Stegostoma tigrinum: one gene and its partner. The protein of the gene in region 1 interacts with the protein of each later gene in a pairwise test. Links are inferred from orthologs where the notes say so. Each region holds a gene or a part of one and is shown in the gene's direction. Other genes may lie near its edges.

What was found. The genes of interacting proteins can lie anywhere in the genome.
Region 2: the proteins of trip10a (region 1) and rho GTPase-activating protein 17-like interact in binary tests that used the Homo sapiens proteins (3 or more experiments, as listed by UniProt). The link is inferred for Stegostoma tigrinum from reciprocal best matches to the Homo sapiens genes TRIP10 and ARHGAP17.

The regions. Positions count from the first base shown.
Region 1 is NC_081388.1:18,475,640-18,486,726, reverse strand, and holds the start of trip10a (cdc42-interacting protein 4 homolog), read left to right. Parts: upstream 1-6,508; 5' UTR 6,509-6,748; coding exon 6,749-6,772; intron 6,773-11,087. UniProt on the Homo sapiens protein: Required for translocation of GLUT4 to the plasma membrane in response to insulin signaling. Required to coordinate membrane tubulation with reorganization of the actin cytoskeleton during endocytosis.
Region 2 is NC_081376.1:21,182,349-21,192,646, reverse strand, and holds the start of rho GTPase-activating protein 17-like, read left to right. Parts: upstream 1-5,054; 5' UTR 5,055-5,373; coding exon 5,374-5,426; intron 5,427-10,298. UniProt on the Homo sapiens protein: Rho GTPase-activating protein involved in the maintenance of tight junction by regulating the activity of CDC42, thereby playing a central role in apical polarity of epithelial cells.

The DNA.
Region 1 (11,087 bases):
AGAGGAGCAGATAGGGTGGAGATAAGACAGACAGGTCAAGGAGGTGGGGATGAAGCCAGTAAAGGTGAGTGTAGGTAGGGGGTTGGAATTGGGGTTGGTCAGTGAGGAGGGAGGGGCAGGTAGGTGGGAGGGAAGACAGACAGGTTAAGGGGGCATGAGGCTAGCAGTTAGGTTGTGGGGGTGGGGGTCGGTCAGTGAGGTGTGAGGAGTGGATAGGTGGGAGAAAAGATGGACAGGTCAAGGAGGCAGGGGCGAGATGAGCTGATCTTGGGATGAGGTCGGGGGGTGGGGAGATTTTGACGCTTGTAAAGTCCACATTGAGACCATTGGGATGCAGGGTTCCCAAGTGGAAAATGAGGTGCTGTTCCTTCCACTTGGAGTGGCATCATTGTGGCACTGGAGGAGGCCCAGGATGGACATGTCATCCAAGGAGCGGGAGAGGGAGCTGAAGTGGTTCACGACTGGGAGGTGTTGTCTTTTGTCACAAACCGAGAGTACGTGCTCCACAAGCAGTCTCTGAGCCTGCACTTGGTTTCCCCGATGAAGAGGAGGCCACATCGGGAACAGCGGATACAATATACCACATTAGCGGGTGTGCAGGTGAACATTTGTTTAATGTGGAACGTTTTCTTGGGGCCTGGGATGGGGGTGATGGGGGAAGTGTAGGGGCAGGTGTAGAAGTGAACATGATTGATTTGGATTTCCAGAGGCCTTTGACAATGTGCCACACAGGAGGCTGCAAAGTAAGATAAAAGCCCCATTGCGTTACGGGCAAGGTACTGGCATTGATAGAGGATTGGCTGACTGGCAGAAGGTAGAGAGAGGGGATAAAGGGATCTTTCTCAGGATGGCAGCTGGTGAAGAGTGGAGCTTTGCAGGGGTCAGCGTTGGGACCACAACTATTTACAGTATACATTAACGATCTGGACAAAGGAACTGAGAGCATTGTTGCTAAGTTTGCTGATGACACACTGATAAGAGACGGGTAGTGTTGAGGAAATAGGGAGACAGCAGAAGGACTTTTTCAGGAGAGTGGGCAAAGAAGTGGCAGAGGGAATATAATGTGAAGAAGTATGATGTTAGGTATAAATTGGGAAAGTATGAGGTATTTTACTTTGGTAGGAAGAATACAGGCAGAGACTATTTTCCAAAAGGATACAGACTTTAGAAATCTGAAGAACTAAGTGAATTAGGAATCCCAGTTCAAGGTTCCCTTAAGATTAACATGCAGGTTCAGTAGGCAGTTACAAAAGCAAATGCAAGGTTTACATTCATTTCAAGGGGGTTAGAACACAAGGACAAGGCTGAATAAGGCACTGATCAGACTGCATTTGGAATATTGTGAGCAGTTTTGGACCATACATCTAAGGAAAGATGTACTGGCATTGGAGGGGGTCCAGAGGAGGTTTACCAGAATGATGCCAGGGATGAAGGGTTTGTCATATGAGGAGTGATTGAGGACACTTGGCCTATAGTCAGTGGAGTTTAGAAGAATGAGAGGTGATCTCATTGAAACATACTGAATACTGAGAGATTTGCATGGAGTTGCCATGGAGAAAATGTTGCCGCTAGTAGTAGATACTAGAACCCGAGGACATAGCTTCACAACGAAGGGACAACCCTTCAGAATTGAGATGAGGAGGAATTTCTTCAGCCAGAGGGTGATGAATCTGTGGAACTTATTACCCACAGTGTACTAAGTTATTAAGTGTATTTAAGACAGTGATAAACAGGTTCTTGAGTAGTAAACAAATTGAAGGTTATGGGGAGATGGCAGGAGAATGCAGCTCAAAAACATATCAGGCATGATCAAATGGTGGAGCAGGCTTGATGGGCCAAATGGCTTCATTTCACTCTTCTGTCTTATGGTTTTATAGTATCTGCCCCAGCTTATCCAGTTCCCGCTTAAAGATATGCAGAGTCAGCACCACTGCACTCACTAGACACACTTTCGGTATCAGGCTGACTATCATTGATGAATTTGTACAGGGCAGTGAGTGTGCGCACAGGGATATTGTGAGTGTCTTCCTCCCCCAAACATATAAGAGGTCTGTACAAAACCGTTGCAAAAATGTTTAACATGTCTGCACATGTCAAAGAAATTCTTTGTGGAATTATGGCCGCACAGGTGTGAGGTTATCTGTTCCAGTCATAGGGTCATAAAGATATACAACACAGGAACAGGCCATTTAGTCCAACTTGTCCATGCTGACGAGATATCGCTTATACAGACTATACCTCTCAATGATACTTTGGTTGACCTTTATAAACCACTCCTAACCCACACTGAACATTTAAGAGAAAAGTCATTGTAGGATTTCTACCACACAGAGGGCAATAGAATCAAATCAGCCCCGCTTTAAGGTTAAGAAAATATATTCTATCTGACCTACCCAATATTCTTCATTGCTAATAAAAATTGGAATGCCACTGATTAGATTAAACTGAGAACTGGCATATTGGTTACAACTGATAACAATAGATGTTTGCTCTCACATAATGCACAAAACACAGTTTAAAGTCTGCAACGCTGGGATCTGAGGATATGTTCTCAAACAAGATTCCTACTGTTTTCTCTGCATATTTGACGCTTGATCACTATGAGTAAAACTGTATCTGGTCATTTATCTCAGACTGACTTATGGGAGCTTGCTGTGTACAAATTGATGACCACAATGATCACGTTTCAAACATACAATGCCATAGTGAATGACTTCAGGGTGGCCTGATGTTACAAATACGACATGGGTGCCATTTATTTTACGGAAAGTATCAAAAAGAATCTGGTGCCACCAGCAGGAGGATCAATATTCAGAGGATCCAGTTTTCAGATAACTGAAAAAACATGCAGAAGGCATATGAGACTTTTATTTTACTGCAGTCTGTCATCATGAAATGGGATGGACAAGCTTGAAAAGGTTGTGGAAGCAGATCCAATGGTGACTTTCTAGAGGGACCATAAAACGCAGGGGCAGAAGTAGGCCAATTCGCCCATCGAATCTGCTCTGCTGTTTGATGAGATAAAAGCTGATCTGATCATCCTAAACTCCAAATTAAAAATCTGCCTTTCTCAGCCTTCAATATACTTAGTGACTCAGCCTCAACAGCCTTCTGTGGTAAATAATTCCACAGATTAGTGAGCCCTTGTGAGAAAAAAATTCCTCCTCATCTCTGTTTTAAATGTGCAACTTTTCTCTTGGACGATGCCCTCTGGTCTTAGACTCTCTCCCAAGAGGAAAGGGGGCAGCATGGTGGCTCAGCAGTTAGCCCTGCTGCCACACAGCACCAGGCACCTTGGTTCAATTCCAGCCTCAGGCAACTGTCTGTGTGGAGTTTGCACATTCTCTCCACGTCTGCATCTTTCCTCTATGTGCTCCGGTTTCCTCCCACAGTCCAAAGGTATGCAGGTTAGGGTGGATTGGCCAGGCTAAATTGCCAATAGTGTCCATGGATAAGTTGATTAAATAGGTTTAGGGAATGGGTCTGGGTGGGATGCCCTAAGGACTTGTTGGGCCAAAGGGCCTGTTTCCACACTGGATGGATTCTATGGAATAATCAAACAACTTTTTCATATCTACCCCACCAAGACCCTTAAGAATCTTTTATGTTTTAATTAGGTCTCTTTTTGTCTTTCTAAACCCCAACGGATATAAACACAACCTCCTCATAACAAAATTCCATCATTCCAAGTGAACCTTCTCTGTATGACTCCAACGCTAGTAAAGCTTTCCTTAGCTAAGGGTACTAAAGTTGTTCACAGTATTTCAGATGTGGTCTGATTAATGCCTTGTATAGTTTTAGCAAGACTTCCCCTATCTTTATACTTTATCCCTTTCAAATACAGGTCAACAGTCCATTTGACATCTCTATTACCTGATAAATCTTGGTTCGAGCATTTTGTGATTCAATCACAAAGGAACACAAGGTAGAAATTTGCAGGGCTTTTGGGCATTCTCAAAGCCAATGGAAGTAACAGAACATATCATTCCCTCCTGAAGCCCTCAGTACTTCTCCAAAGGATACACTGCAGAGTTTTGACATGCACCGGTTCTGTTGAGAACCAAAATTAGTTGCAGTAAATCTTGGCTTCTTCCCTCACACGTTCTCACCAAACTTGGTGCCACCAGAATGCTCACTCTCGGTCTGCATTTACCCGTCCCAACCCCGGGCCATCTTCTGTTCTCCACATCCTTCCTGAAATTCCCTGATCTTGCCCAAAACCACCTGTGTGAATCTCTGTCCATTTGCCGACTGCTTTCATTCAAATAAATGTAGAGAAATTATCTCTAAACCTGTCAGCTGAGGAACAAAAATACATCCAGTTTTCATTCATCAACTGCCTTGTAGATTATTAGGTTGGTGGGGGGGGGAAGAGGTAAGGTCAGTTAACCGGATGGTTTGCAATCCAGAGCGATGCCAACAGTATGGGTTCAATTCCTGCACCAGCTAGGATTAGCATAACAGATTTTCCTTCTCACCCTCTCCCCTGACCTGAGGGTGCAGTGACCCTCATGTTAAACCACTATCAGTTATCTCTCTCCAATGAGACAGCAGCCCTATGGTCCAATAGGACTGTAACAACTTTACCATTACACGTGAAAATGCCACTAGGGCATTAGCTCCTCTTAAGCCGTGCAGTCTCCAGGCCAGATGAAGCCGCAATAATTTCTTTCCCCCTTTATTCATTCACAGGATGAGGGCACTGCTGACTAGACAGCATTTAGTCCTCACAGTCAACCACATGGCGATGGGTCTGGACCCACATGTAGGCCAGACCAGTTAAGAACAGTAAAACGAATTTGCTGAAGTGGCTCAGCAGGTCTGGCAGCATCTGTGAAAGAAAAAAACAAGTTCATGGTTCGGGTCTGGTGATCCTTCCTCAGAAAATGTTAAGAATAGCAGTTTCTTTCCCTGAAGGGCATTAGTGAACCAGACAGGGTTTTTCCCCAACAACAAGTTCATGGTCATTATTAGATTCTTAATTCTAGAGATTCTATTGAATTCAAATTCCACCAGCTGCTGTGGCAGGATTCAAACCTGGGTCAGTAGGATGTTATCTGGCTCTTTGGATTACCACTCTAGCAATAATACCATTAGGCCATTGTCTCCTCTTAATATTTCTGAAGTGAAGCTGAATTTTCCTTACCGCACCAGACCATGTAAACATTAACTCAATGAGATCAAGAAGTAAAATACTGCAGTTGCTCGAAATCTGAAATAAATACAAAGAGTGATGGAGAAACTCAGTGGGTTTGGCAGCATCACTGTCTCTGATTTGACTCTTTTGGAGAAGATTCACACCAAGCTCAGAATATTGACTCTGTTTCTCTCTCCACAGATGCTGCCAGAGACCAAAAGTACTATAATAAAACAAAGGAGCATGAACGGTGAAGATCTGAAATGAAATTAGAAATTGCTGGAGAAACTCAGCAGGTCTGGCAGTATCTGTGAACAGATCTCAGTGTCTCTGGTTTGACATACTGGACTCAAAACCATTAACTCTGTTTTCTCTCTCTACAGGAGCTGCCAGGCCTGCTGAGTTTCTCCAGCGATTCCTGTTTTTGACCAAGAATACTATACTTTGCCCCTTTAACAGTGCTAGCCTGCACACCTAGCTGTAGGCTATGTGCGGTGAGGGTGCTTGCTGTGTTTTCTAAACTGCAGCAGTATAGTGTAGTAAGGGAGCAAATTACTGCAGAAGCTGGAATCTCTACTGAAAACAACAAATGCTGGAGATCTCAACAGGTCAAGTAGCAAGCTAACGTGATGAGTATGGATGACTCTTCATTAGAGCTTAAGATGCTCTGATGAAATGTCATCTAGACTCGAAACATTAGTTTTTCTGGTAATTACCCTTCTTCAGAATACCCAAAACGTTGACTGCTCCTTTCCTCCAGATGCTGCCTGGCCTGCTGTCTTCTTCCAGCCTCCAGTTCACCTACTTTGGATTCCAGCATCTGCAGTTCTTTTTGTCTCGAAACGTTAGCTTGCCGCCTCTCCTGAATGCTGTTTGGCTGTGATTTGTTGTTTCTCAATGTGATGGTGTTCCCTTTAACAGCACCAGCTATGTACGCCTTGCTGCAGAGTGAGTGCAGACAGGGTGCTTGCTATCAGAGATAATGGGGACTGCAGATGCTGGAGAATCCAAGATAATAAAGTGTGAAGCTGGATGAACACAGCAGGCCCAGCAGCATCTCAGGAGCACAAAAGCTGACGTTTCGGGCCTAGACCCTTCATCCTCTGATGACCTAGACCCTCTGATGAAGGGTCTAGGCCCGAAACGTCAGCTTTCGTGCTCCTGAGATGCTGCTGGGCCTGCTGTGTTCACCCAGCTTCACACTATTATCTAGGGTGCTTGCTATGTTTTGTAAAAGAGCAGTATGCATTGTAGTGGGGGTGTTCCCTTTAACAAAACCAGTCATACACACCTTGCTGCAGACTGAGCGCTTGCTATGTTCTGCAAAACTGCAGTGAGGCGCCGTTGAGCTTTTACAGAGGCGGAGTGGTGACGCGGGATTGCGCAGCGCAGGGAAAGTCGTGGCTCAGAATTAACCAGGGGCTGGAGAAATGTTTACACTTTGAAGGATGCCAGGCACCTCATTCATATAGAGAGGAGTTTCTGCAATCAAATTCCAAATAGAACAAGAGACGGGACCAAGTGAGAGGAGAAAGAAATTAACATAGAGTCTGCTGATCAATTCTCTCGTTTGTTTCTTCCCAGCCTGAATTAAAGGCGAAGTTAAAAATCATGGAGTGGGGTTCGGAGCTTTGGGTGAGTGTTACTTTTTAAAAGATATAACCTGAGAGATCCTGGAGATGCTGATGGCGGGGATTTTTTTTATTAAAAAAGACGCTAGTCGTGTTGTATTTGGGAAGAATGAAAAAAAGCGAGCGTTTCCGATTCACTTCCATTGAGAAACGAGCTGAGAAAGTCCTTTTCTTTTAGCAATTTTCCCAATTATCTTCTTTAAAAGTTGTAAGAAAAGTTTTTCTTCGCTGCTATCTCGTGTGTGCTGGTGCTTCTGTTGCAGCGAAGGGAAAAATGTATTTTAGTCTTTCCTTGCCAGGATAGAAAGGGTTAGCTCTCTCTGTTCTCTGTGTTGTTTCAGGATTTGGCTCTTTTTAAGTTGGGAGCGATCGAGTTTCCAAACTTCTCCCAAGTGCATGTTTGTTGGGGGCGGGGGTTGGTGAAGAGCAGGAAATGCCCCCTCAGTCCTCTGGCCACCCTCCCTCCCTCCCCAGGCCAGTTTGTTTTTGTTTAAATGCTATGTCCCATTATCAATGTCTCAGTGTCCGTTTTGTTTGCTGTTAACTAATGTGAGAAACACACACACACGTATTTTGCAATTTCTTCCAAACAAAAAGAAACGATTTGTGTTTAAAGCCCCCCCACCCCCCCCCCCCCCCCCCCCCGCGTTACACAGGCGCTTCCCAGTCCTCACGGATGAATGGGACATTGAATAGTTACAACTGCTGGATTTCGACGTTTCTGTCTGGTGGGGAGGGGGGAAGTGTTGGTCCTTACAATTTTCTCCGAGCCCAGTTTCTCTCCTGCAGAGCTTTGCGGGGAGAAACCGATAAAAAAAAACCTGTTTGTGTATGTGCGTTCCCTTTTTTTTGTACCCTCCTTGCTGTAATCCGCAGTGCAGGAGCTGAGAATAGCAATTGAGAGATGTATCTTTACTGAGGCTCACCTTGACCAACCCAGTTTTAACAGAACATTAATCAAGGCTGTTGCTGGGTGAGCTCAGGGTGGGGGGTGTTCTGAGAGCTTTGTATTTGGGTGTATCCGCTGAACCGGAGATACGTGCAATTGTTTCTCCCTGTAATCATAGCACAAAGAGAGCCCTTTCAGCCCGTCCTGCCTGCGCAAGCTCGTTTAAAATGGCTATCCATTTACTCACAGGCTGCTTCCCCCCCACCCCCCCCACTTGAGAAATCGCAGGACCAAATCCGTTGCAGAGGTTTCACTGGGATTTGTACTTTTTTGTCGTCATTGTTTTTGGTCAAATATCTGTATAGCAGACTTTAAGGGGGTGGGCGGGCGTGGGGTGTTTATTAATGTGTCTGTGTGTTGTCTTGCTCCTCTATCTGAAGGCATTGTCAGGTGGGCTACAGTTTCAGTAGGTAGTACATTGTATTTAGGGCATGATACAGGCCATTTGGCCCAACTTCCTTTGACCCTTTCACGGGATGAGAGCATTGCTGGCAAGACCAGGCCATCCCTAATAGTCCCGGAGAGGGTGTTGGCAAACTGCCTGTTTGAATGGTTGCGATCCATGGTGGTTTAGCACTGTTTGCTGGTGATGTCTCAGGGCTTTGACTCAGGAACAGTGAACGATGTGGCAGCAAATTAGTTCCAAATCAGGATTGTGAGAGATTTGGAGGGGAACTTGGTGGTGTTCCCATTTATCTACTGCCATTATGCTTTGAGGGGGTGGAGATTATGCTTTAGACGCTGCTGTCGAAGGAGCCTTGGTGACTTTCTGCAGTGCATCTTGTCGATAGTACACCCTGTTGCTACTGAGTATCGTTGGCGGAGGGAGCACGCTCTGGAGGTGTGGTGCCATTTAGGCAGTCTGCTTTGTCCTGGATGGTGTCGAGCTTCTTGAGTGTTGTTGGAGCTGCAGCCATCCTGGGAAGTCGGGAGTATCCCGTCACACTCCTGACTTGTGTCTCATCAGCTCTGAGGAGTCAGGAGATGAGTTACTCTTCACATGGTTCCCAGTCTCTGACCTGCTTTTCTAGCCGCAGTATTTAGATGAATGGTCCAGTTCAGTTTCAGGTCCATGATGACTTCCAGGTTATTTATAGTTGGGGAAGAAAGATGGATGTCAAGGGTGGTCGGTCAGTTATCCATTTTATCATTTGTTCACGGGATGTGGGTGTCCATCCCTCATTGTCCTTGGGCAGGTGATGGTGGACTGTCTTGAGCCACTGTTTTAGATAATAGTTGCTAGGCATTTGGGTGGCACAAATGTTATTTGCCATGTATCAGCCCAATCCTGACTGACCCATGTTTTGCCACATGCAAGCAATAGCTGTTCATGATTGGTATTTTCAATTCCTCCCACCCATTGATTTCTCCCTATCAACACCATTGTTTTCTCCTCCATGTCGTTTCTCTAATTTCTCTTTTAAATGTTACTTCCCTTAACTACTTCATGTGGTAAAGAGTTCCATTTTCTCATTACTCTATGTAAAGATATTTTGCCTGAATTCCCATTATTGGTGACTATCTCGTTTAGTTCCGGTGTACCCAATAAGAGGAAATACCTGTGAAGAGAAATCAGAGTTAACACTTCAGGTCAGGTGACCCTTCCTCAGAACTTCTGGGGACGGCTCACCGGACCCAGAGTGTTAACACAGATTTCTCATCACAGATGCTGCCAGACTGACTGAGCTTTCCCAGCAACTTCTGTTTTCTGCGTTCACAGTTCTTTTGGGCTTTTACTTGAAGGGAAATATCCACTCGCTGTCAATCCTACCAAAACTGAGCAAAATTTTAAAGACTTATAACAATTGTTCCTCTATTGTCTTTTTTTATAAAAAGGAATAATTCAATGTTCCCTGACAGGCTCTCAATTGTAGTAACCACCAGATCCAGTGTTCCCTTATCCTATTTATAATCTGAGGACCAGAACTGTTTGCAGTGCTCCAAGTTGTCTAACCCAAATTTAGTACAAGTTTAATGCTATACTCTGCTTTCAATTCAACCTGAGTTCCTAACTTTAGTGACTTGTATCCCTATATGACTAGATCCTTCTGTTTCCTGTTTAAATTCTTAATTACCAAAGTTTGTGTCTTCTTTATTCTTCCTATCAAAATGTATCACCTTGCATCATGTTAAAATTTATTTGCCATTACAGGGACAATCTGCAAATTTCTTAATGTGTTTCCACATTATCTTGTATTTCTCCTCCATATTAACTATTCTCCTCAGTTTTGGTTACGTCTGCACATTTTGAAATTGTGCTCCAGAATCTACATCGCTGATCCCTCTGGAATGCCACTTTCCATCTTTTGCCAGTAGCAGTCCTGTTATCCAGTGCTTCACTCCACATGTTGTCACAATGAGATGAGGAACGGTTGCAAAGAGAGAGGATTGATGGGTTTTGAGAGGGGAGGGGAGGGAGAGAGGATGGCCACCAGTTCTTGCCTCTGAGAGTTAACGTTGATGAATTCAGGTAAATGAATGTGTGATCTTGCACATAGGATTGGGAAAGATTGTTGAGCTCACTTGAGAAAGTCCACAGGATAACGTAAGGGCGATCACACAAACAGGCCTTGAAGGTTGAAATGGTCTATGTCAATCCTTTCGGTCTGCGTGAGTTTCCCCTCTCCCTTGTCCCCATACCCCTCAATTCCCGTCTCTCCCAATTAAACATCCAGTTAGTTCAGCTCTGGCTGTTTTGGTGCTGAACCAGCATATTCAGAAACTGCTGTTTTATTGATTATGGTTTAAAGTCTGTCAGTGACTGAGGCTCAAATGTTTTAGCTTTGATTAGTCAGTGAGTGCAGCACATTCTTTGGATGTGACAGAAGTCCTATCTCAATAGGACGCCATGTTCTGGGTTAGGGAGGGGAAACCAGTCTGGGAGCTTGCTGGTTAACAACACCCTGAAATGTAGTAGGTTGGATGTGAATCTGTGATGACCTGTTCAGTTGGTGAATCTACAAACTGTCAGAAATAACTTGCATTTATGTCCTTGACCTGTCTGTCTTTTCTCCCACCTCACTGACCAATCCCCACCACGATCTGCTTGCATTCACCTATCACCGTCCCACCTACCTGCCCCAGCCCATTCTCTCTCCATTTATTTATTTCAGAGCCCTCTTTCCCCTTCCCCAATTTCTGAAGAAGGGCCCTGACTCGAAACATCAGCTTTCCTGCTCCTCTGATGCTGCCTGGTCTGCTGTGTTCCTCCAGATCCACACTCTGTTGACTCAGACTCCAGCATTGGCAGTTCTTACTATTCCTTAGCATTTATGTAGCACCATCTATAACCACAGCACTTTACTGCTGATGAAGTACTTCGAGTGTAGTCATGGTTACAGCATAGGAAACCCACAGTCACTGCGCACCA
Region 2 (10,298 bases), on another chromosome or scaffold:
TTGGAATGCACTGCCTTACAATGTAGTAGAGGCAGATTCAGTCAAGACTTTCAAATGACTAATTATCTAAAGAGGAAACATTTGTGGGGATACAAATAAAGTGCAGGAGATTGGGATTAACTGCAGCACTTATAGATAGCAGGAATGGAATGACAGGTCAAATAGACTCCTGAGCTGTAACCATTCAAGCATTTCATGATTCATCACAAAGTGACATGGGATGCTTTTTTTTATTATATTAGAGGTACTTCTTCTAACTTCTTTCAAGAGATGTGGGAGTCACTGGCTAGGCTGCCATTTAAGGCTGATTCCTAATCGTACTTGAGAAGGTGGTGATGAGCCAACTTCTGGGCCTGCAGCAGTCCATGCAAGGTAGATACACCCATTGTGCTGTTACAAAAGGATTTCTAGCATTTTGATCCAGTTACAGTGAAGGAATGGCAGTATACTTCCAGGCCAGGGGCTGTATAGCCTGGAGGGGAACTTTGAGTTGGTGGTGTTCTTATGAATTCATTGTCCCTGTCCTTTTAGATAGTAGAAGTCATGGGCTTGGCAGGCTGTTGCTTGATTAGTCTGTGGGTCAGCTCTCTCAAATTTGGCACAAGTTCTGGAATATTGGTAAAGGAGAACTTTGCAGGCCAGGCAGGGCTGGGTGTTCAATTGTTGATTCTAGTGCTCAGGCTGATTTGTCTGTTTCAATTTTCATTCCTCTCAGCCCTATCCTTTTGGTTTGACACTGAGTGGCATACTAGATCATTTCAGATAGCATTTAAAGGTCAGTCATGTGTGTACATGAAATAAAGTCACCCTTTATTTACTTGTGCACAGTACACTGGCAACAATCAGCCAGCTCAGAGTCAAACCTCAACTAGGGAGACTCTAATCTCCTGGTTTTATTGGTTGGTTAAGGCATTCCTAATTGGTCCAGGTTAACAACCCCAATCAAGAATCTCATAGTTAATGAGGTCAACCTTGTCCCAATCACTACAGAATCCAAGATAACAAAGTGTAGAGCTGGATGAACACAGCAGGTCTTCCTGCTCCGATCATCCAGCTCTACACTTTGTTATCTAAGATTCTCCCGCATCTGCGGTTCCTACTATCTCTGAAACTACAGAATCCAGTTGGGATGATCACTAAAAGGCCAGACCAGGTGATGATGGGAGACTTCCTTTCCTAAAAGACATGAGTGAAACAGCTGGGCTTTTACAACAATGGTTTCATGGTCACCTAACTGCTGCAGGCTTCATATTCAGGTTAAGGACTGAATTTAAATTCAGCTGTGCTTTGGTATACTTGCCTTTATTAGTCTGTGCAGTGAGTATAGGAGTTGGAATGTCATGTTGTGGCTGTACAGGACATTGGTTCGGCCATTTTTGGAGTATTGCATGAAGTATTGATCTGCCTCTTATAGGAAGGATGTTGTGATTCACAAGCATGTTGCCAAGGTTGGAGGATTTTAGCCATAGGGAGAGGCTGAGTACAGTGGGGCTACAGATGGTTCTGCTATAACACAATTGTGGAGTTTTGGAGGCTGAGGGGTCACCTTTACAGAGATCTATGAAATCATGAAGGGCATGGATAGGGTAACTAGACAAGGTCTTTTCCCCAGGGTGGGAGAATCTAAAACCAGAGGGCATAAGTTTAAAGTGAGAAGATAAAGATGTAAAACGGACCTAAGGAGCAACATTTTCACAGAGGGTGGCGCGTGTACATAATGATCTGCCAGAGGAAGTGATGGAAGCTGGTATGATTACTACATTTAAAAGGCATCTGGGTGGGTATATGAATAAGAAGGGTTTAGAGGCATATGGGCCAAATACTGGCAAATGGGATTGGATTTGTATAGGATATCTGGTCAGCATAGACAAGTTGGACCAAAGGGTCTGTTTCTGTGCTGTATATCTCTATGGCTCTATGACTTAATGGGATGTGAATAGCTATTCCAGACTATTAGCCTGGGTTTTTGGATTGCTTGTCCAGTGACATTACCAGTGGACCACGCAGACACCGGACAATACGTAAAAGATCTGTCGAAGAAAGTTGAGGCCTTTGAAATGTGGACACCAAGCCATGTTTAAAATTCCCTATATAAATCCTAAGGCAAATGAAGTTCTTGAAATTGCAAGAGCTAAACAGAACTCCATTAATGGAAATGCACATATCTTTGCCATTTTATTGAATCCAAAAAACTACCACAATCTCTTTAAGAGGGCAAAGTACAGGGCAGTAAAAAAGCATTGACCTACATATAGTTGGAAGCCAAACGTCAGAAAATGGCTGAAGTGGATATATGAGGGTGGCACAAGACAGAGGAGTGTTACGTACTATCTCTTGTTAGGAGTAGCTACAGGACCAAGAATTTTATAAAATATGAACTTCCCTTGAACCATCGCTATCACTTTCAATCTCTTGGTGTCACCTGCCATTTATACCGACATGGATTGAGATTGTATACATAGGTTATTTATAAATGCCGGGAACAGGGGTTTTAACACACGCCCTTTGATCATGTGATCTTGGCTTGTTACAAATCAGTGTTCATGTTACATATACTACTGAGTACAGTCAACGATGTCATTTTCCTTGGTGACCAGAGTGTGGCTGAAAACTGTTTTAACAGGCTCGGAACAACTTGTACTCTGGAATTTCAGTCATAATTCTATGTGCTACCATTTAGTAACACCAGATGGCAGAAAAGGCAAATTTCATCATTTAACACAGAAGATAGGAGCAGGAGGAGGCTACTCAGCCCTTCTAGCCTGCTCCGCAATTCTTCATGATTATGGTTGATCATCCAACTCAACGGCCTAATCCTGCTTTCTCCCCATAACCTTTAATCTTATTCGCCCCAATAGCTATATTTGGTTGCCTCTTTAACACATTCAAAGTTTTGTCATCAACTACTTCCTGTAATGAATTCCACAGGGTCACCGCTCCTTGGGTGAAGAAATGCCTCCTCGTCTCCATCCTAAATTGTCTACCCTGAATCCTCATACTCTGACCCCTGGTTCTGGATGCACCTACCATTGGGAACATCCTCCATGCATCTACCCTGTCCAGTCCTGTTAGAATGTTATAAGTCTCTATGAGATCCCCTCATTCATCTGAACTCTAGCAAAAACAATCCCAACCTAGTCAATCTCTCCTCGTACATCAGACCCGCCAACCCTGGAATCAGCTTGGTAAACCTTTGCTGCACTCCCTCAAGAGCAAGAGCATCCTTCCTCAGAAAAGGATACCAAAATTATACACAATATTCCAGGTGTGGTCTCACCAAGGAAGAGGATTGACCAATGACAGGTCTTTTGGAATTCCAATTTTTATGAATGTGTAAAAACAATAAAATTTATTTCTTTCAAAATATTAACACAGAGATTTGTACATTAACTAACATTCATATGGTTATTGATGATGTCCAGCAAGCCATCAATGCTGAAAACTGGCCTTTCTTGAGGTTTTGGCATGTGTGCATTAACTTAACCCTGAGGAAATATAAAATCTGTTAAAGACCCTTTTAAGTAGAATAGTTGGAGAACACTGAACAATAACTGACATTGCCCCTGTTTGTGTGTGTTTTATTTTGTACATTAAGTGAGCTCCAAATACACTAACACAATTATTGAAATTGGAAACTGAAGTGAAGGAATCTGATGTATAGATAAATGCTTCATCTGCATAGGATAGATATCGTGCTTTGTCCTTTCCCATGCCTATCAACGTAGAAAGGTCATCGAAACTCTTTAGATGCATAGATAGGATGCATTCCATGGAAGAACCTTTTGCTTGAGTGGTGCCTTTTATGATCTAGAATATTTCAAAGTCTTCGCAGCTAACAATTTTTAAAAAAAATTTGCTTTTACTGCCATGAAGCAAAGATGACAACTGAAATATGCCAAATAAATCTTGACAAGAGCAATATGATGAATTACCCTTTTTCTCTCTGAAGATCATTATGTGGAATTCTCTTCCTCTAAAAGCAGTAGAGTTTGGATCATCGAACTTACTCAAGGCTGAATTAGATAGAACTTCTGACAGACAAGGAAATCAAGGGTTATGAGAGGTAAACAGTAAAGTGGAGTTGAGACCACAACCAGATCAGCAATGAAAGAGTACTTTTGAATGACTAAATGATGTTTTTTTTGGGAATGGTGATTGAAGAACAAACATTGGCCATTTGTATAGTCATTATGAGAATTCCCTGACCTTTTTTTGAAAAAGTATCAATGGACCCTTTATACTCACTTAAAAAGACAAATGGGATCACAGTTTAATGTTTAATTTGAAAGAAGGCAATTAAGCTGGCCCTGAGTTGTCTATTTCCCTATCAATATGCTGCTGAATTCCAAGAATCAGAGTGTGATCTAATAACCTTCTGGCTGAAACATGAGGATGCTTCCACTTACCAGGATAATATGGTTGTTTACACCAGAAGGTATTCTTATTGTTATATTTAAAATCTTCAGCTGGAATAGTTAGAATGGTTCATAATGTCCAAAGTTTTTTTTTAATCTCAGCAACGAAGTGATATAAAGGGTTTGTTTTTGGGAAGTAACTGAATGCTTGGAGATGGTTGTTTCTGGTATAGCAATAAACACATGCAGATTTTCTTGGGAAAGAAAGAATTCTGAAACATCCAAAAGACTTAAAGAAAACCCGAAACTCAGACAAATACAGTGTCTTGTCAGTCAGGCAAGTACATTCGAGGTCATATTCAGGTGTGGGATACAGAGGTGTGTTGACACAGGCAGTTTCTGGCTTACTCTTTGAACTTTCACTTTTACATTTGGAGTGCTCTGATTTTCACGAGTTGCAGGTCTGACTTATTAAAAGATGAAAAAGAAAATGCATTTACACACGATCTTCTCCATATTCTTGTGAGAGTTCAGAACAATGGGTGGCCTCTTGGCTCGTTAGTGAGACAAATGTGGACTGGGAGCTTTGAACTCCAGGAGTGACAATGAAACCCCCGACCGTCTTCGCCCGGTTTACTGCTTCTGTTGTTGTTGTTGTTGCCTCCGCCCCCTCCCCTCCCTTAGTAACGGAAGTGGGAGGTAGAGGCGCTTCCGGTTGGCCCTGAGTTGGGTGGCGGTGCAACCTTGTTGTGAGCTGGGCGGTTCAGAGCATCCCGGTGGAGACAGAGTCGGGGTGAGAGAGGGCTTACCGGGAGCCGGGGAGGACACAGGGGAAGGGGTGAGGGGGGCGTTTGCACAGCCTCGGGACAGCTGCGGGTGTTTGGCGCTGGGCGAAGAGGGAAAGCGCGAGTGTCCGCGCACGGACGGCCCCAGGATGTGCCCAGCGGCCTGGACACACTCGCTGTAAAAATCTACTCTTCAGGGCGAAACTTCCAAGCTAGCCGGCCCGGGAGAAACCATGAAGAAGCAGTTTAATCGGATGCGGCAGCTCGCCAACCAGACTGTGGGAAGGTAAGCACCGTCACCGGGAGCTCCCCAGAGGAGACAGATAGTTTGTTATTTTTTTGGGGGGTGGTGTTAGAGCGATCGGGTCTGAAACTCATCGGAGAACTCGTGGGAGTCACATCTGCAACTTTCTGAGACTGCTCGTTCCATTGATTTCCACTTTTAAAACAAAAGAAAAAGCTCCTGGTAAAGTTGTACCCAGGCCGCTTGCACCAAGGTAGTTTGGGTGCATCGGTTTCAATCTTGTCTCGAGCTCAAAGTTCCCCACCGGGCGGGGGCCAGACTACGACCTCAGCACAACTTTCGGAGTTGTCAGTTTCTGTTTACTGCGTTAACATTTTCTGTACGTCGTGCTGTGGCTTTATGTAAAGCAGTGAGGCGACGGCCGATGAAGTGTTGAGCGATTATTACCATGAATCTCCAGCATCTGCAGTTCCCATTATCTCCATTACCATGTCGGTAGCTTTCAATGCAAATCAGACTATTTTAGTAAAGTAGGTGGTTTGCCACTAGTGTAACTCGACCCTTAATTTGAGGTGTTTGGTCTGCTCTGTAAAACTGTCACAACTGGCGTTACTGAGAGTCCATCGGACGCTGCCTAAGCTCAAACTTGTGATCAACAACGAGTTTGCAACATCGAAAAACAGTTTTGCAGAAATTGGCGGAAGTGACCGCGGTACTGGATTTAATTACTTTAATTCACATGTTGCGGCGCACATTATGAGCGATATGGTTGGATAAGTACTTTCGATCCTCGAATATTGAAATAACAGGACTTTGGAATTAAACGTGCATTACAGGGCGCCCAGTACAAAGCTGACTCAACCCCGAGTTGAAGGGATCCACCATAGGTCACTAAACCCTTTTAGCAAACAACCTCTCTCTCCGCTCCAGACTGCTCGTTTGCCTATTCTTTGTTTCCGATCCCTTGCAGCGACCCAGTCAGATCGGATGCTTTCCTGTTTGTCAAATTAGTATTCTGGGGCATGTTTGCCTGACCACCATTTAGCTTCGTTTTGATTTGCCTTGTGATTTCAGATTTTGTTTTGTGCTCAGCAATTTCTCAACGGTGCCTATTTCATTGCTATTGGCGATGGAGTGCAGTACATTGACACTTCTATGGTACTGTTACTTTGCAATTTACAAAACTGAAGAGTTAAAATTGAAAAGAAAGACGATGCAAATTTGTTTTTTATTGTAAATGGAAATTGCTAGAAATACACCATTTTTGGTCAGTATTGTGAATATGTACCCTTAGAGTGTGTACTGGGAAATTAAATGCATCTTCCGACTATAAGTTGGCTCTCGCCCCTCGTTATGATACGTTCATGCTATTGGAAGGAGAAATAACCCAGTTGTGTGGGCGGTAATTGTTTATCCGGACTTAAACATAGTTAAGAAAAATCTGAAAAATTGAGGCTGACATCAAATGTTGTAAGTGTCGTAATAAACCTGAGATTATTTGATATATTTTGATATGTTTTATTGAAATATTAAATTGCATTGAGAATTTGTTTGTAGTAGTTACTAGTTAGCGTGAAATGCCTGTGGAGGTAACAAATCAATGAGAGCAGATCTGTTAACGTAGCATGTGCTTTTATGCCTATTTTGCAATTTAAGTTTCTCAATTTCCCTGGGAGAATTTGTTTCAATTATAACTGTGGATTGTGTGTTGGATATGTTGGTTCCATAACTTGAGACGAGGTCTTGTGCTGATGATTATTTTGTTAGGAAGATTGTCATGATGAAAAGCAACACAGTTATACACTTTAATGGTGGATTCTTCCTTAGGGGATGTGAAATGCACTAAATAATAGGCTTTTGCAACCTTGATGTGATTGAATATTTGTACTATTGATGGATAGACTAGTATTTCATCTGTGTCTTGAATTGATTAACCTTTTAAGGTCTGCCTTTCTGCAACGTACTGGCTGAGACGAAAGCATCTACTTGAGGTCTCAGCATGTTGGAAAATAGCAAACATGAAGGAACAATGAAGACAGAAAGCCAGAATATATATACCACTCAGGGAAAATGTTGGAAGCAGTTATTAAGAAGCTTATAGCGAGCGACTTCAAAACTCCCAATTCATTCTGGAAGAATCAGTATGATTTTGTGCAAAAGAAATCATGTTTAACTAATTTATTGCTTGTTGGCATTCTTTCAGAAAGTCATGTACCAGGACTATGATGTAGATAAAGGGGAACCTGTGGATGTATAATAAGACTTAGATTTCTGGAAAGCATTTGAGAAGGTGGCATATCAGAGATTACTCTGCAAAGTTAGATATCATGTTATATGGGGCAACACGTTAGCATAGATGGAAGATTGGTTTGCCAAGAGGAAACATTAGGGATAGATGGGTAATTTTCAATATGGCAAGATATGACAAGTTGAGTGCCACAGGGAATGGCGCTGGGGCCTCAGCTTTGAAAACTTCTCTGATTTATGTGAAGGATCCAAATATACAGTAGCTAAACTTGCTGATGACACAAAGGCAGGAAGGTAAGTTGAGAGGAGGAAATTAGGATCCTACAAAGGGATATATATAGGTTAAATGAGGGGGGGAATGACGGATGAGGTATAATTTAAGGAACTATGAACTTGTCCACTTTCCCAGAAAGAAGAGAACAGAAGCATATTATAGAGTCATAGAGCATGGAAACAGACCGTTCAATCCAACCAGTTCATATCGATCATTGCCCCAAACTAAACTAGTCCTCCCAACTGCCTGCATTGGCCCATATTCCGTCAAACATTTCTTATTCGTGTACTTATCGAAATGTTTTATAAATGTACCAACATTTGTATTGACTACTTCCACTGGAAGTTCATTCCACATATGAAGCGCACTCTGTTGTAAAATTATTTAAATAGAGATGTGGGGCATTTAACATCGTGTTCTCCCATTTTTAAGACTGAGATAGGGCGAAATCTTTTTCCCTGAAGGTCATGAACCTTGGAATTCTGTTTTCTGTAGAGATGAGTGGAAATAAGATATATGAATATTTCCTTGACTAGGAAGGGAGACAAAAATTGTCAGAGGGTAGACAAGAATGTGGAAATTGTACCAACACTGATCGTATTGAAGGCTGGTGCAGAATGGCCTATTCCTACTTCTAAGCTGCATGCAATAGACAGAACTAAGATTTCTCACGATGATTCTGATGAAAGATCTCAGTCTAGCTCCATGCAGTTGTGAATGTTGATGAAATAATTAACCAGTGAAGGAAACTCCACAAATATCTCCATTCTCAATGATGGAAGAGCCCAGTACATCAGTGCATAAGCTCAGGCTGATGTATTTGCTGCCATCTTCAGCCAGAACCACCGAATGTGATTTCTGCTTCTCTCAGCACCCCAGCAGCTTAGATGCCAGTCATTAATTTCTTTCAACACTCTCCATGGGATAACAAGGGACTGAAGGTTCTAGTTTCTACAAAGACTATGGTTCTTGAAACTTGCTAACTACTGCTGCAGTTTTGAGTACTAGGACTAGTCTCACCCCTAATCGATTTGTTTGAGAGCAACAATACTGGAATCAAGTGGCAGCTATTCAATTTTGAGTGGCATATACCCTCATGCTTCTCGGTCTTTGGCTACCTAGTGCTGACTGGGGAAGGCAGGTCAGAGGACTTTGCCATTGGACTGTTCCTAATGCTGGTTAAGATACCATTGATAGGTTCAGGTGACAGATGTTAAGAAGCTAGTTTAATCTCACTGCCTGTCTCTGTTCTGTGGCTATGTCTGTGTCCATGGAGAGACAGCACACAATGTTGGCTTGAAGCTTTCCATGCTCTGCGGTCTGTTGTGCCATATCAGCACTGGAAATCACATCTTTAAGATTTTATTGTAGTTAGTAGTGCATCTTTCACATGAGGACCTTAATTGGTTAATGATGCCAAAGGAGTATAATACTGTCATCTACCTGACAATAGGCAAAAGTTACCCACCTGTGCCCTGCCCTCGAGCAGGATAGTTCCAATCCAGCCATTTCTGCTCTTTCAGTCTACTCTCAATCATCAGCAAGTTGATGGACGGTATTTTTGACAATGCTATCACGTAGCACTTACTCAGATATAAGCTGTTACTTTGCAGTTGGTTTAGGCTGTGTCTGAGTCACTCAGCTCCTGACCTCAATACGTCCTTGATCCAAATATGGATAAGTGGCTGAACTCAAAAGGGGAGGCAAGAATCATTGTCCTTGATGTCGAGCCAGCGTTTAACATAATGTGATATCAAAGAAATCTTTCTTTTAAAAAAAAATGTTAAAATGAATGCGATTTGAGGAAACTCCTCTTTGGTTAGAGTCATACTTAGCACGAAGGGAGAGAGTTGTGGTTGTTGAGGATAATCGCCTCAGTTCCAGGACATTACAACAGGAATTCCTTAGCGTAGTGCTCCAGGCCCAAGCATCTTTATCAATGATCTTTCCTCTGTCGCACCTTAATTGGGAAGAGTATGCTGATGATGTACCCTACTGTTTCACAGACATTAGTGTGTAAAATATCAATTCGGCCACAAGATGACCACATTGCCTGATTGACTGACTGCTATATGGGACAAAAACAATTTGCACTAGTTTGTTATTAACAGAAAATGACTATTTATTGTAAATACACTTAATCCTTTCTTTTCTGTACCATTTGATAAAGTTACTAATTTGTCCTTGTGCAACTTAAACTGCAACCCTTTAAAATTCCAAATGTGCACACATACACCGTTGAAACAGATGAGATTGTTGAACACACAGCATGGATAGAAGAATACAGCCTGGGGGAAAGCACGTCTGAATATCAAATGTCAGGATCACAAGAGTGTCTCCTGTAGTTTGTTTTATTCCTGCACTAACATACTGTTCTCTAAAAAGCAAAGTTA